Linked DNA regions of Xenopus tropicalis. Each later gene encodes a partner of the first gene's protein in a complex. Links are inferred from orthologs where the notes say so. Each region holds a gene or a part of one and is shown in the gene's direction. Other genes may lie near its edges.

Region 1 (3,610 bases):
GTTCGTTTTCAAGTCGGAACTTTTCCAATTCGGGTCGGATTCGTGGGTTAGTAAATCAGCCCCTTAGTATATTGAATTATTGTATTATGCAGATACCTTGCATTTTTTTTCTGCTTTCTCCAGGATTTAAAATATGATGTTGGAGGGGGAGAGAAATTTGACTCTCTGACAGATCTCGTGGAACATTATAAAAAAAATCCTATGGTTGAGACTTTAGGAACTGTACTGCAGCTAAAACAGGTAAGACTAATTAAACATGACAATTAACCCCTTGTACCTATTTACCCATATGCTAAGAATTTAGCTTTTCTTTTAGCCACTGAACACAACGCGGATTAATGCTGCAGAAATTGAAAGCCGGGTAAAGGAACTTAGCAAGCCAGCAGAGACTGCAGATAAATTTAAGCAAGGATTCTGGGAAGAATTTGAGGTACTTTTATAGTATTGTGTCCAATTTGTTACCCTCTGTTTGGCCTGTTATTTGTGTGGTTTTTTTTATATTCATTTGCAGTTACGGTTTGATGCTTAACATTAGAATGCTCCCCATCAGTTTCCTTTAATGATAATTAAAGTCAATATGCTATGGAGTTAATTTCTCCAAACAAACACAATCATAGATTGTTAGGACACAAAGATGAAAATAAGAGGGGCCATTGATTTATGTGTATAGAGAAGTAGATTCTGCATCATTTTTGTTCCATTGCTGCAGTAATTACATTTTGAAAGATTACTGATAAAGCATTTAATTTTACAGACTTTAAAAGCACTAAGGATGTTTTTTTTTATTAATGTTTGTCTTTGTAACGTGCATATAATTTAATTTTTTCCTACTAAAGACATGCTATTTATACCCCTTCCCAGGACACTTTGCAGCATTGCAGTATTCTCTCAGTAATCTAGATCTGCACTCCTTAGGTTGTACTGCAGTGTATGACACAAATTGCAGGTAGTTTATATTCGCTGCTTAATGAAAGTTCCTAAATGAAAAGACACAGTGAACTAACACACAGGAAAAGAGGAAGAGATCTCCAAATACAGGCTTTCATACATAACCTTAATTGTAGTAAAGCCTCTGAAGGCAGCAGAAGTAATTAATGTAGTTAAAACCTTATGTGCAACATAAGGGCTACCACACCTACAAAAAACTTTAATTACAATTTAATTATCCAGCTGCTTATCGATGCATAAAACTAACTGCAGCAATATGGAAGTCTGATGTCCCCGCAACATGCTTCCAGTGTATTTAAATAGTGGTTCTTTGTAAATGAACTCATTACCAAATGGACTGTCTCTTTACATTTGAGATGGCTTTGTGAACTCCTGTCTGAATTAGATGTGTTAGAACCCAGAATAAGTTTTCTTATGTGCTGCAGAAAACACACTGCCTTTTTTAATAATAAAGTAGAAGCACCAATGATTTTTTTTTCTGACTATATTGTCTGTTCTGAGACATGTAAACCTGATTTGATATGGTCCCCTTTTAGCCTTGCCCAATCAAGAGTAACCCACCATCACTGCTTTGCACTATTTAGTTTGCCTGCAATACAGCATGTATTATAGTAGAATTAACTACCTGTATTCAGTCAGAGCTACTTCTTCGTCTTGTCTTGGCCCACGGCCATTATGTGCGCTCTGCAGTCCACAGAGCAGTTCTTGGATTCAAGAGTTTGACAATAGTGTGGTTCGTATCAATAAAGTATGACTAACTCATCACAACAAGTTTAAAAAAATAATTTTACTCAGATATCCATATTAAAAAAGAATAAAAACCCCAGAGGATTCCGCCTTGTGCGTATTCTTAGGCAGTTATGTCTTTTAATTAATATATATGTAAACATTGAGCTCTTTCAATTGCAATTGTCTTGTTTTGGAACTTATGGGGATATAACTGCTTATGACTAAGTACCAGAAGGGTGCGAAACACGTAAGGCGAATCCTGTGTATGCTTTTTTTAATATGGATATTTGAATAAAATAAATTTTAGATATGTACTGTAGTTATGCCCATTAATCTGCAGGCAGAATCCCATTGACTCCTTTTTTTAACTGGCCAGTTTTGATCTCCAATAGCAGTAATTTGTGATTAGTGTGATTAGGTTTAACTTTAAGGGAAGTCCTCCCAAGAATTCTGTGAGACTACTTATTTTGTGTTATATTTGTTTTTCAGACTTTACAACAGCAAGAATGCAAACTGCTGTATAGCAGGAAAGAGGGACAAAGACAAGAGAACAAAAATAAGAACCGATACAAGAATATATTACCTTGTGAGTACTGACTGATTTGATTCTGCCCCATGTTAGTTAAGAGATGTGAGATTTATCATGCTGGTATTCAACTAGGGCAGGACTGTATGAAGTAAGAAAGAAACTCCCCAGTAACAATATTCCAACATCTAGTGGAAAGCCTACCCAGATGAGTAGCAAATGTTATAGCAGCAAAGAGAACACCAACTCAAGTTCATACCCTTGATTTTGGAATACGAAGTTGGAAAGGCAGTTATTGGAATACTTTTGGCCACATATTTTACCTGGAGCTTTCCAGTTAAGCATCTAATTATGACTGTTTTAAATTATTTTTATGCAACTTGGGGGTGCTAAAATCCCAGAAATAACTTTGTGGTAATGCAGTCTTATGTTAAATGGTGTCTGAGGATTTCCTTTTGTCGGTAAGAACAAAAATATATTTATTTGAATTGACATGCCAGGTATTTTTGAACCTTGATCCAAAAGCCTTGAATCGATGTTTTACTTGAACCAAAAGCCTTTTTTATTACAGTGTGTTTGCTTTGAGCTTTATTGTCTACAAACGTCTGGAGTAAAAAAGTTAACGTAGAAAGAAAAACTAGAGAAACCCTGGTGGGATATATAATATTGCAGTAGCACAAGTAAATTTATGGCTGCTAATTATTTTTCAGATCTCGCAGAAGGTTTCTGTTAATAATAAATGACTAGGTGCTAATTAGTTTTTGTTATTTTCACCTGCACTAGGTTTGTGGTTGATGTATTCTTTACCCACTGCAACCATATATAATCATTACTGAACAGACAACTAAGCCACAAAGAGGTAGTAGCAGCACTCTATTATAAGGAACTATTGTGCCAAGCAAGCAAAGTGAGTGTTCATAGTGCTGTGTCATTAGTAGAAATAGCTTTTGGTTTTGAGAAGGCAATTGTTCTGTTTTAATGCATCTCCACTTTTTGGTGATTGCCTAAATGTATATACAAATACACGCACTCATGCATAAGCAGTCTGTCCCTTTCATATGAAGCAGGACTGGACAAAGGGGTAGTCAGGGTAGGCACCTGCCAAGGGCGATATTTGTTCCTTCAGATCCTTGATTTTGCAATAAGCAATGGGGATGAAGGATGGCTAGTGCAAGTTACAGTAGCAGTGGCAAAGGACCTGTTGAGGAGGGTTGGTGATTTTGTTTCTTGCAGCTGAGGCAGCAGCAGAGGACTGGAACCAAGAATGGAAGTTTGCTAAGGGTTGCCTCGGGCGCCCAATTCTTTTGGATCATCTCTGATATGAAGTACTTTTATGGGAACTTGTTTTAGATTAATCTATGCCAGTTTTGCGGTGGTTAGCAGAGGCTTATGTGATACTATGCAGAT
Region 2 (4,202 bases), about 100 Mb from region 1:
CAGTTTAACAACCACTGGATATTTATGGGCCGGACATCCCTTTTATGTACAGTAGAAATATCTAACTACAGGTATGGGATTCCTTATCCGGAAACCCATTATCCAGAAAGTTCAGAATTACAGAAAGGCCATCTCCCATACACTCCATTACAAGCAAATCATTCTAATTTTTAAAACTGATTTCCTTTTTCTCTGTAATAAAACAGAATCTTGTACTTGATCCCAACTAAGATATAATTCATCCTTATTGGAGGCAAAACAATCTTATTGGGTTTATTTAATATTTGAATGATTTTTAGCAGACTAAAGCTGGCCATACACGCACCGATACTATCGTACGAAACCTCGTTTCGTACGATATTCGGTGCGTGTATGGCATGTCGGCGAGTCGACCGATATCGCAGGAAGCTGCTGATTTCGGTCGACTCACCGATCGGCCAGGTTAGAAAATTTTGATCGGGCGCCATAGAAGGCGCCTGACCAAAATCTGCCATCAGCGCTGAATCGGCAGAAGGAGGTAGAAATCCTATTGTTTCTACCTCCTTATCCGCTGTTTCAGCCCTGACTGTGTGTGGCGGATCTGACGATGTTTGGTGCGACCGATGGTCGCACCAAACATCGTCAGATCGCCACGTGTATGGCCAGCTTTAAGTTCTGGAGATCCAAATTACAAAAGATCCCTTATCTAGAAAACCCCAGGTCTCAGGCATTCGGGATAACAGGTCTCATACCTGTACTAGGAATGTGTCAGGACACTAGCACTTTTTGCTGGATTCCGACTGGCCTGAATCTTTAGTCATTACTAAACTAAATCCCTGTGTGACTCAAGAGCTCAGGACAAGACAACCTAAGACAACAAAATGTTGCTCCCATTTGACACCATTTTCAACTCCCTAACACTGAACGTGCAAATTAAAGTTAAGATTCAGTCCAGCATTTGGCCAAATGTTTAGTGGAGAATTTAGCATTCCACTGAATTAAAAACTCATGTATAAACTCATGTATACCAAGTCACAGAGGCCCCACAAAGAGTCACTGGGGAAACTTGGCGGAAAAATACCAGAATCCCTGCACTGCAAGCACAAGCCTCTTCACACCCCAGTTATCGGTATGGCCATGAAGAAATGGCCAAGGCAAAAGGAAAGCTCAGTTCTGAGGTGTGGAGAAGAGCCGCGACAATCGCAGGAGTGCTACCGATAACTACTCGATAGGAAACTTTTAGTAGTCAGTGAGTTTCCACTGGAACAAACTGGCGGCCGAGATTGGAGGCGTGAGAGGGATGGGAACGAAGACGACGCTGGCATGGAGGGGCGGGGAAGAGGAGGAGGAGGAGGAAAAGAGAGAGAAAGAGAGAGGAAAGGGAGGAGAGCGAAAGGATTTACTGTTACGAGATAAAAAATGTGTTATATCCAGTGCGTTTCCAGGAGGAGACGGATAAAGCGATTTATTTCTTTGCTCAAACGCGAATCCCCGGTGCTGCCCTCCGTAATGGCACTGGGCTTATAAAGCTTAGCCCGCCTGCGCCTTTTCTTCTGGGAAAAAAAACTTGTGTCCAAAGGAAGGAGGCGGAAGAGGCCAAGCAGCGACTCCTGTCGGGGAAAGGGGGCGAAGGGTGGAGAGCTGGAGTAGTTTAGTCATCCTTTATGTGCGCCCCTCTCAGCTGCTGCACTCATGGACTCACCCTAGTCATAATAACAACGCTGTAGGTACTCTCACTGGGACTGGGAATCCCGGACACGCAACTTTCCGACACAGGAACAACACAAAGTTGCGCAGTTCCCCCCTTTCCCTGCGGGACACAACGCGCCGGTGGGGCCGCAGGAGCAGCTGGATACTGGAGCCCCAAACTACTAACCCGGAGAGCAGGAGGGGAGCGCCGAGGAGCAGGATGATGAGCAGTGGCAGCGGCGGAGGGGTGGGGGCTGGAGGCGGCGGGGAGGTGGTATGCTCGGGATGGCTCCGCAAATCCCCCCCGGAGAAAAAGTTGAAACGTTTCGTAAGTAGATTGCGCCTTCATTTCCTTCCCAGAGGCCACATGTTATTGTTTGTATAACGTGGAAGTTTGCAGTGCTACTGGGCATTCTGCAGCTGTGCTGCTAACGGGTGCCCTGCCATTCTCTCACTATGTACTTATAGCTGTGACATCACTCCTTTATCAGGCACAATATGCCCTCCAGCTCGCAACATAAATAAGGATTCAAGGCTTGGAGCAGCGGCAACCCTCTATCTGTTGCACTACTACACTGCCCGGCAACTCTTACAGACAGGGTTCCCTACATGCTGCTGAACTACAACTCCCAGAAGTACTCTCTGGCCGGGAGTGTTTATGGTTTGATGCAGCAGGTTGCCCATCCTTGCTTTATGGCCTTTCATCTACAGTTATCATGTCTGCAGTCTAAAATCAGTAATAAAAGATGTCACAGTTAGTAGCTGTGGTCTGGAGGAAAGGATGAGGCCACAGGCCAGCTGGGTAGTACTCTTAACTGCCCCATTTGCTTTACTGATGAGGGTGAAGACACACCAAGCTACTTATTTTAAGGGTACTAGACTCCAAAAAATACCCTGCTATAGACAGTACTGAGAATTGCCTCTGCTAAAACACATGAAGAGGCAATTATCAGGAAATGATCAGCATTGTCTATTTTAGTAGCTGCTACTAGTAGCTCTGTGTCTTCACCCTAAGGGCAGTGACACACGGGGAGATTAGTCGCACCGCAACAAATCTCCATTGTCGCTGGCGACTAATCTCCCCACAATGCCATCCCACCGGCTAGAATGTAAATCGCTGGTGGGATGACATACACGGCGCCGCCATTTACCAAAGGTGCTTAAGTTTCCTCTCAAGGCAACTTCGGTAAATCGCAGAGACGCCTGTGCCATCCCACGGGCGATTTACATTCTAACCGGTGGGATGGCATTGCGGGGAGATTAGCCGTGTCACAGGCCTCAAGGTAGTGGCACATCGGGAGATTAGTCGCCCCACGACAAATATTCATTACCGCGGGCGGCTAATCTCCCCGCAATGCCATCCCATGTCGCTTTGTTTTCCCGAAGTCGCCTAAAGTTTCCTTGAGAGGCAACTTCAGGGGACTTCGGGAAAACAAAGCGAAGCGTATGCCATCCCACCAGCGATTTACATTCTTGCCAGTGGGATGGCATTGTGGGGAGATTAGTCGCTTGCGGTAACAAAGATTTGTCGCAAAGCGACTAATCTCCCTGTGTGCCACTGCCCTAAGTGTTTATCATTGTGTCCATATTTGCCAGTTGTGTATTATACTAGATAATGGAAACTAATACTGAAAATTTTATAACAAGTCACACAGAAGTTTCATGAAAGTATAAATACCCAAGAAAACAGACTCCGTGCATTTATAGAGTATATGGAATTCCTGGTATCTCGGAATTTACTGTAGGTGCTGAATGATGTCATATATTGCTTTAGTTTTATTTTAGCATGCTGCCTTTCCCTCTGGAGCGTTGTTTACCTATGCTTTGGGTTTGTAAGTCCCCCTTAAAGCTATAGTGACAATTTAGAAGCTGTTATTCGTTCTCCTGCTATACTGAGATTTTGCATCTTGCTAGCCTCCTGTCACATCATGTTTATTCAGTGCTCTGTAGGTTACCGGTCTCGAAGTGTGGAATAGTTGCACAGGTTATCCTATTACCTGTGCCACACTGTCAGCATTACCACTTGCTGCATCTTTTAGCTGTACTGTGTTTGTCCTGGGCCATCATCTTGCTACACTCCCCATTGAAAAGACAGGCAAACATTGGTAAAATAGGTATAAGGGCAGAAATGTAGCGAGTTATTTCATGTTGCCAATAGTCAGTGTTTAAAAGACAGTATATATTAAGTTTTCCACACTTTAAGTTGCATTTTAATTGCAGGACAAAAAAGCGCACATTGCTTTTCCAGTTTGCTAAAGTATATAGCTGTTGGGTACAGACTTCTTTCTTTGCCTTCCTATTTATGAAAAGCGGATGATCCGTTTATTTTATTATGAGACTGGAACTGGGACCTCTGGTCAATGTTTGTTATTCTGGTTTGCCAACTTCTGTTTCCAAACAGTTTTTTTTCTGGGAATAAGCTGTGTGGGAATAAGGCTGTCAGGAAACTACACGTAACTGTGAACGTTTGCTGAGAGGGCAGATTCCTGCACACAGGCTAAAGGCTGAAAGTTGAGTGCTGGCAACACATCACG
Region 3 (4,204 bases), on another chromosome or scaffold:
GACAGGCCTGGACTGGCAATCTGTGTATTCCAGCAAATGAGGGGAAGCTGTAAGATGCCATAGTCAGTCACTATTTGGGCCTGTGGGGGGCTGTTGGGGGCTGTTGGGGGCTCTGTGTATTGAAATGCCAGGGCCTATTTTAAATTCCAGTCCAGATCTGATAAAAGGGCTGGGGCTGCGGGAGAGTGGGCAGGTTTGTGCAGATTGGAGGCAAAGTTTGGATATAATTGGGTGTTGGCAGATTGGGGGGCATGACCTCTTTATATAGGTGCCCATTCTGTTTCATGGTAGGACCCTCAACCCAGGGGGCCCAAATAACCAGTGGGCCATTAATTGTGCCCCCCCTTAGTAGTATGTGGCACCATAATCACTGATGGTGGCCCTGTGTAGTAAAAACATGCCATATTCCAAATACATCAGTGATGTATAAAACATTGGCCACCTAATCTTTGTAAATCTGATTCCATGTTTCTTTGTTACTGCGACTGGATTCTCAAGTATTCCACCCAATAAAGGGGCACAATGTTTTATGGAAGGTTTGCATTTCTCTAAAGGTGATGTAAACACTGCTGTACAACTCTGGGATGCCCAAATCTTGCTGAACTGCATCTTTGAAGATTCCCCCACATATTATCAGGGTTTAAAGCATAACGGGAGCAGTAGCGCAGCAACACACTGTCCCACTGCACCCCTTAGCTGTCTAAAACATAGGGGCCCTTAAGCTGGCCATACATGTAATAAAACTGTACATATAATCGTATTGGTTGGTATATGGTGGCCAGCCAATCCAAACAGATATCCTTGTACCACATTTGATTTCTTGTAAATTATAGGTTCATTTAGCACATGTGTCATCTGCCAGATTGTGTATGGGTACCTTTACCCACGTATGTTCCAATGTCCATCAAAATACGTTGTATCAAAATACTTAGATTGCTTTTATATTCAAATAAATCCATTTATGTGAGTGTAACATGCAGCTACCCAGTTTGTTATATATTAGTATTGGTGTAGCCATTGCAGCAGTCTATAGTTTATATATTATTTGTACCACTAATGGATTACAAAAAGAATAGTCAAGTGACTGATGATGTAGCTAAAAATGCTCGGGGCTGGGGGCAGATTTAACCTGAGCAACAATTATAAACCCACCGGTTTGTTGTTATAATAGGAGTCAGTTTCATATGAGTTGGCTTTAATAAAGCCATGAGTCAGCAGCTGGCATCAGTTGTGAATTTTCTACACATCCCCTCATATCCTGAGAAAGAGAAAAAAAAAGTGAAGACAAAAAAAAAAGAGAGAGAGAAAATGAAGCAGAATTGAAAACAGACTCCCAGCCACCCTGACACAGAGGGGGGAGTCATTGGGAGAGGTGGGCGTTACACATGGAAAAAGAAAGGGAGGATTGGAAAGAAGTAGAGAGCAAGACAGACTGTTTAGGCAGGAAAAGTGCAACTCTCTTCTGATTTCCTGAAAGATGGAACAATTGTGATTTTTGTATCACTGAAGCTGCCATGTTGGCACATGTTTCCATATACTGAAATATCAGGATAAACTTTTCCCCGCTCATCTCTGCTTCTAATTTCCATCTGTCTGAAGACGTCCCATAGAGCCGGCTGAACTGGAGGATGCTGCTCTGATGGACTTTATTGCTCAATAACCAAGGAATGCCCCAAAACAACTCTTTTGGCAAACCCCTTTTCCTGACTCGCGCTGTATGAAGCCCAATGGAAAAAGCTGTCAAACATTCCAGCGTTAGAAAAATTTCACTTTCAAGACCTCACTGAGAAGAAATTCAGACAAGACAGAAACAAACAGGAAGAGCTCGGGGAGATTTGGGATCCCTGCTAAACTGCTCCATCTGGCAGGAGTGGGACCCAGGTAAGTGAAGCTTTGCACAGAGATGGGAAATGGGGCGTTAGGAAAACTGCCAGGCACTATTGTTGCCTTGGCTACCCACTAGCTGTCAAAGTGAAAACAAAAGTGGGGAACAAGTGGGCAATAGTAGGAAAACTGCCTTACTGCTCTGCTGAAAGCAAAGTGAAGAGAAGAGATTCCTTTTACATGTGTTTGTGTGACAGTGGTGCTAATTCCCAAAGGAATGGATCAGAACTTACCTGCAGATTGCAGTTTGACAAGCACCTAAAGCCTTGATATGTTATGGGTTTAATATGCTAGCAGTAACCAATGGAGATGCTGTACCAGGTCCCAAAGAAAGTAATTCTGTGGATAAAATGTAACCCCTTCAGAACTTATCCAAGTTATCTACCTTCTTTCTGCATTGGTGCCCAACTCCGTCTATTCATATGGGGCTAAAGGCTTGCTTAGTATGCCACCCTGGGATGCATTGTGCCAGTTTTCTCATGCATGTGGTACCATCAGTCAGAGGACAGATCCTATGAACCTAAGCTTTGCACTCTGGAGTAGTTTTAAAGTTCAGCTCCACTTCTGCCAACTGATGCAGTTTGTCACTAACTATGAGCAGCAGACAAGCTCCCAATACAGATCCTGCCCCTTGTGCCCGTTGATGTGCCTAATGATGGAGTAAAAAAATGCTTCAAGTAAAAGGCTGCCTTTTGCTAGTGATCCAGAGTAATAAAGTGCCCTCCAATACAGCTCTCCTAGCCTGGCACAACCTTTATTCTCTTTACCCAATTGTACCCAACTGGCATAAAGAAGGGGTGGCTCTTTTATGTATGTATGTATTGTATGTATGTATATCTTTATTTATAAAGCGCTAATTATGTACGCAGCGCTGTACAGTAGAATACATTAATACAAACAGGGGGTTAAAGATAATGGATAAATACAAAGTACAACAATAAATACAAATAAATACAAGGTACAGTTGCAATAAGAGTCAGAAACAAGATGAACGAGGTCCCTGCCCCGTAGAGCTTACAATCTATATGGGAGGGGTAACTAACAGACACAAATGGTCAAGCTTCAGTCAGGAAAGTCATATTCATGGGGGGGGGGGTCTGCCAATTTGTTAGGTAACCCCTCAACCTAGTAACTATTGCTAAACTTTGCACTGCAGGGAACGATTTCTGTTTAACATGGGTCAAGCTATTAATCTTTGATTATGTAGCTTTTAGATTGTAAGCTCTGTTTGTACCCCTTGTATCAGTATTCGTATGTAAGTTTACAACCTTCTACTGTACAGCACTATGGAATGATGACACTTTAAAAATACTTGGTATTAAAATAATTTTCTTACAATCTACTCATCTTTAATGCAAATAAATGGGTTGCAAATCAGGTACTTTATACTTAATAATTTCTAATAACTTAATTTTTCTTACAAGGCTGCTACCATGCCTGGGTTGTTAGTTCATCATTTGCTTGGTAAGGCCAGACAAGCTCCCTACAATTTCTCATGATAACTTGGAGGACACTGTTATTATGGATGTGTTTACATTTTACCTCACTAGTGGTATGGCAGCTCCCACCTTTGTTAATAAATGCACATAAAAGACAGATAGATAGATAGATAGATAGATAGATAGATGTACACACAGAGCTATGTCTAAATATTTATAGAAAAATACAATTTAAAAGGGCCTATATTCCCCCTACCTGTGCTGGCCAACTATCCTACACAGACATTCTACAAACTCACTGCAAAAGAGGCTGCAAGCAATAGTGCTGATTTATGAGCGGCGCGGGGAGTTGTGGAAGAGAACAGTTAAATGCCTATTCGCCAGAACAATGCATTCCAAATGAGCCCAGCCAGGGAGATGGCCCAGCTCCAGCTTAATGTCGCACTTTGTGTAAAACAAGTGCTTTGCCCTTAAAGACACAGTATTGCATTTCGCGTCTCCGCTGCCAAAGCTCGCTGCGTGCTGACAGGAATGTTTGGAAACAAATAAGATTATCCAACTGGGATAGAGGATATGCTGTAATATGATTTCATAACTCCACAACTCCGTAAATCAGAGCTGTCCAGCTTTTTATGTGTATTGGGTCAGTTTACGTGACACACCATGTGTTCCAGGGCCAGAAAGTTTGAGCTGTACAGGCTGGGGATGCTGGGAGTTCAAATCTTGGCTGTGACTATTGAAATGTAATGGCAAAATGAGCCAACTCACAAAGAGCATGGATAGTTCTTATTTACCCTAGTGCAGTAACCAATAAGATATGTTTCTTTTGATTGGCTGATATGTGGTAATTACTTATGCAGATCTGCCCAGTGTTACTAAAT

Evidence for each region.
Region 2: the proteins of ptpn11 (region 1) and gab1 are in contact, whole or in part, in a crystal structure (PDB 4QSY), measured with the Homo sapiens proteins. The link is inferred for Xenopus tropicalis from reciprocal best matches to the Homo sapiens genes PTPN11 and GAB1. Residues at the interface, in NP_002825.3 of Homo sapiens: Gly13, Val14, Glu17, Arg32, Pro33, Ser34, Lys35, Ser36, Thr42, Arg47, Thr52, His53, Ile54, Lys55, Leu65, Gly67, Gly68, Tyr81, Gln87, Leu88, Lys89, Glu90, Lys91, Ile96; in NP_002030.2 of Homo sapiens: Lys623, Val625, Glu626, Tyr627, Leu628, Asp629, Leu630, Asp631, Leu632, Asp633.
Region 3: the proteins of ptpn11 (region 1) and pdgfrb are in contact, whole or in part, in a crystal structure (PDB 1AYA), measured with the Mus musculus proteins. The link is inferred for Xenopus tropicalis from reciprocal best matches to the Homo sapiens genes PTPN11 and PDGFRB. Residues at the interface, in NP_001103462.1 of Mus musculus: Gly13, Val14, Glu17, Arg32, Pro33, Ser34, Lys35, Ser36, Thr42, Thr52, His53, Ile54, Lys55, Leu65, Gly68, Gln87, Leu88, Lys89, Glu90, Lys91, Gly93, Ile96; in NP_032835.2 of Mus musculus: Ser1005, Val1006, Leu1007, Tyr1008, Thr1009, Ala1010, Val1011, Gln1012, Pro1013.

The regions. Positions count from the first base shown.
Region 1 is NC_030677.2:163,821,434-163,825,043, forward strand, and holds part of ptpn11 (tyrosine-protein phosphatase non-receptor type 11), read left to right. Parts: intron 1-123; coding exon 124-240; intron 241-316; coding exon 317-430; intron 431-2,166; coding exon 2,167-2,263; intron 2,264-3,610. UniProt on the Homo sapiens protein: Acts downstream of various receptor and cytoplasmic protein tyrosine kinases to participate in the signal transduction from the cell surface to the nucleus. Positively regulates MAPK signal transduction pathway. Dephosphorylates GAB1, ARHGAP35 and EGFR.
Region 2 is NC_030677.2:59,326,587-59,330,788, reverse strand, and holds the start of gab1 (GRB2-associated-binding protein 1), read left to right. Parts: upstream 1-1,330; 5' UTR 1,331-1,888; coding exon 1,889-1,996; intron 1,997-4,202. UniProt on the Homo sapiens protein: Adapter protein that plays a role in intracellular signaling cascades triggered by activated receptor-type kinases. Plays a role in FGFR1 signaling. Probably involved in signaling by the epidermal growth factor receptor (EGFR) and the insulin receptor (INSR).
Region 3 is NC_030679.2:21,190,829-21,195,032, forward strand, and holds the start of pdgfrb (platelet-derived growth factor receptor beta), read left to right. Parts: upstream 1-1,343; 5' UTR 1,344-1,881; intron 1,882-4,204. UniProt on the Homo sapiens protein: Tyrosine-protein kinase that acts as a cell-surface receptor for homodimeric PDGFB and PDGFD and for heterodimers formed by PDGFA and PDGFB, and plays an essential role in the regulation of embryonic development, cell proliferation, survival, differentiation, chemotaxis and migration.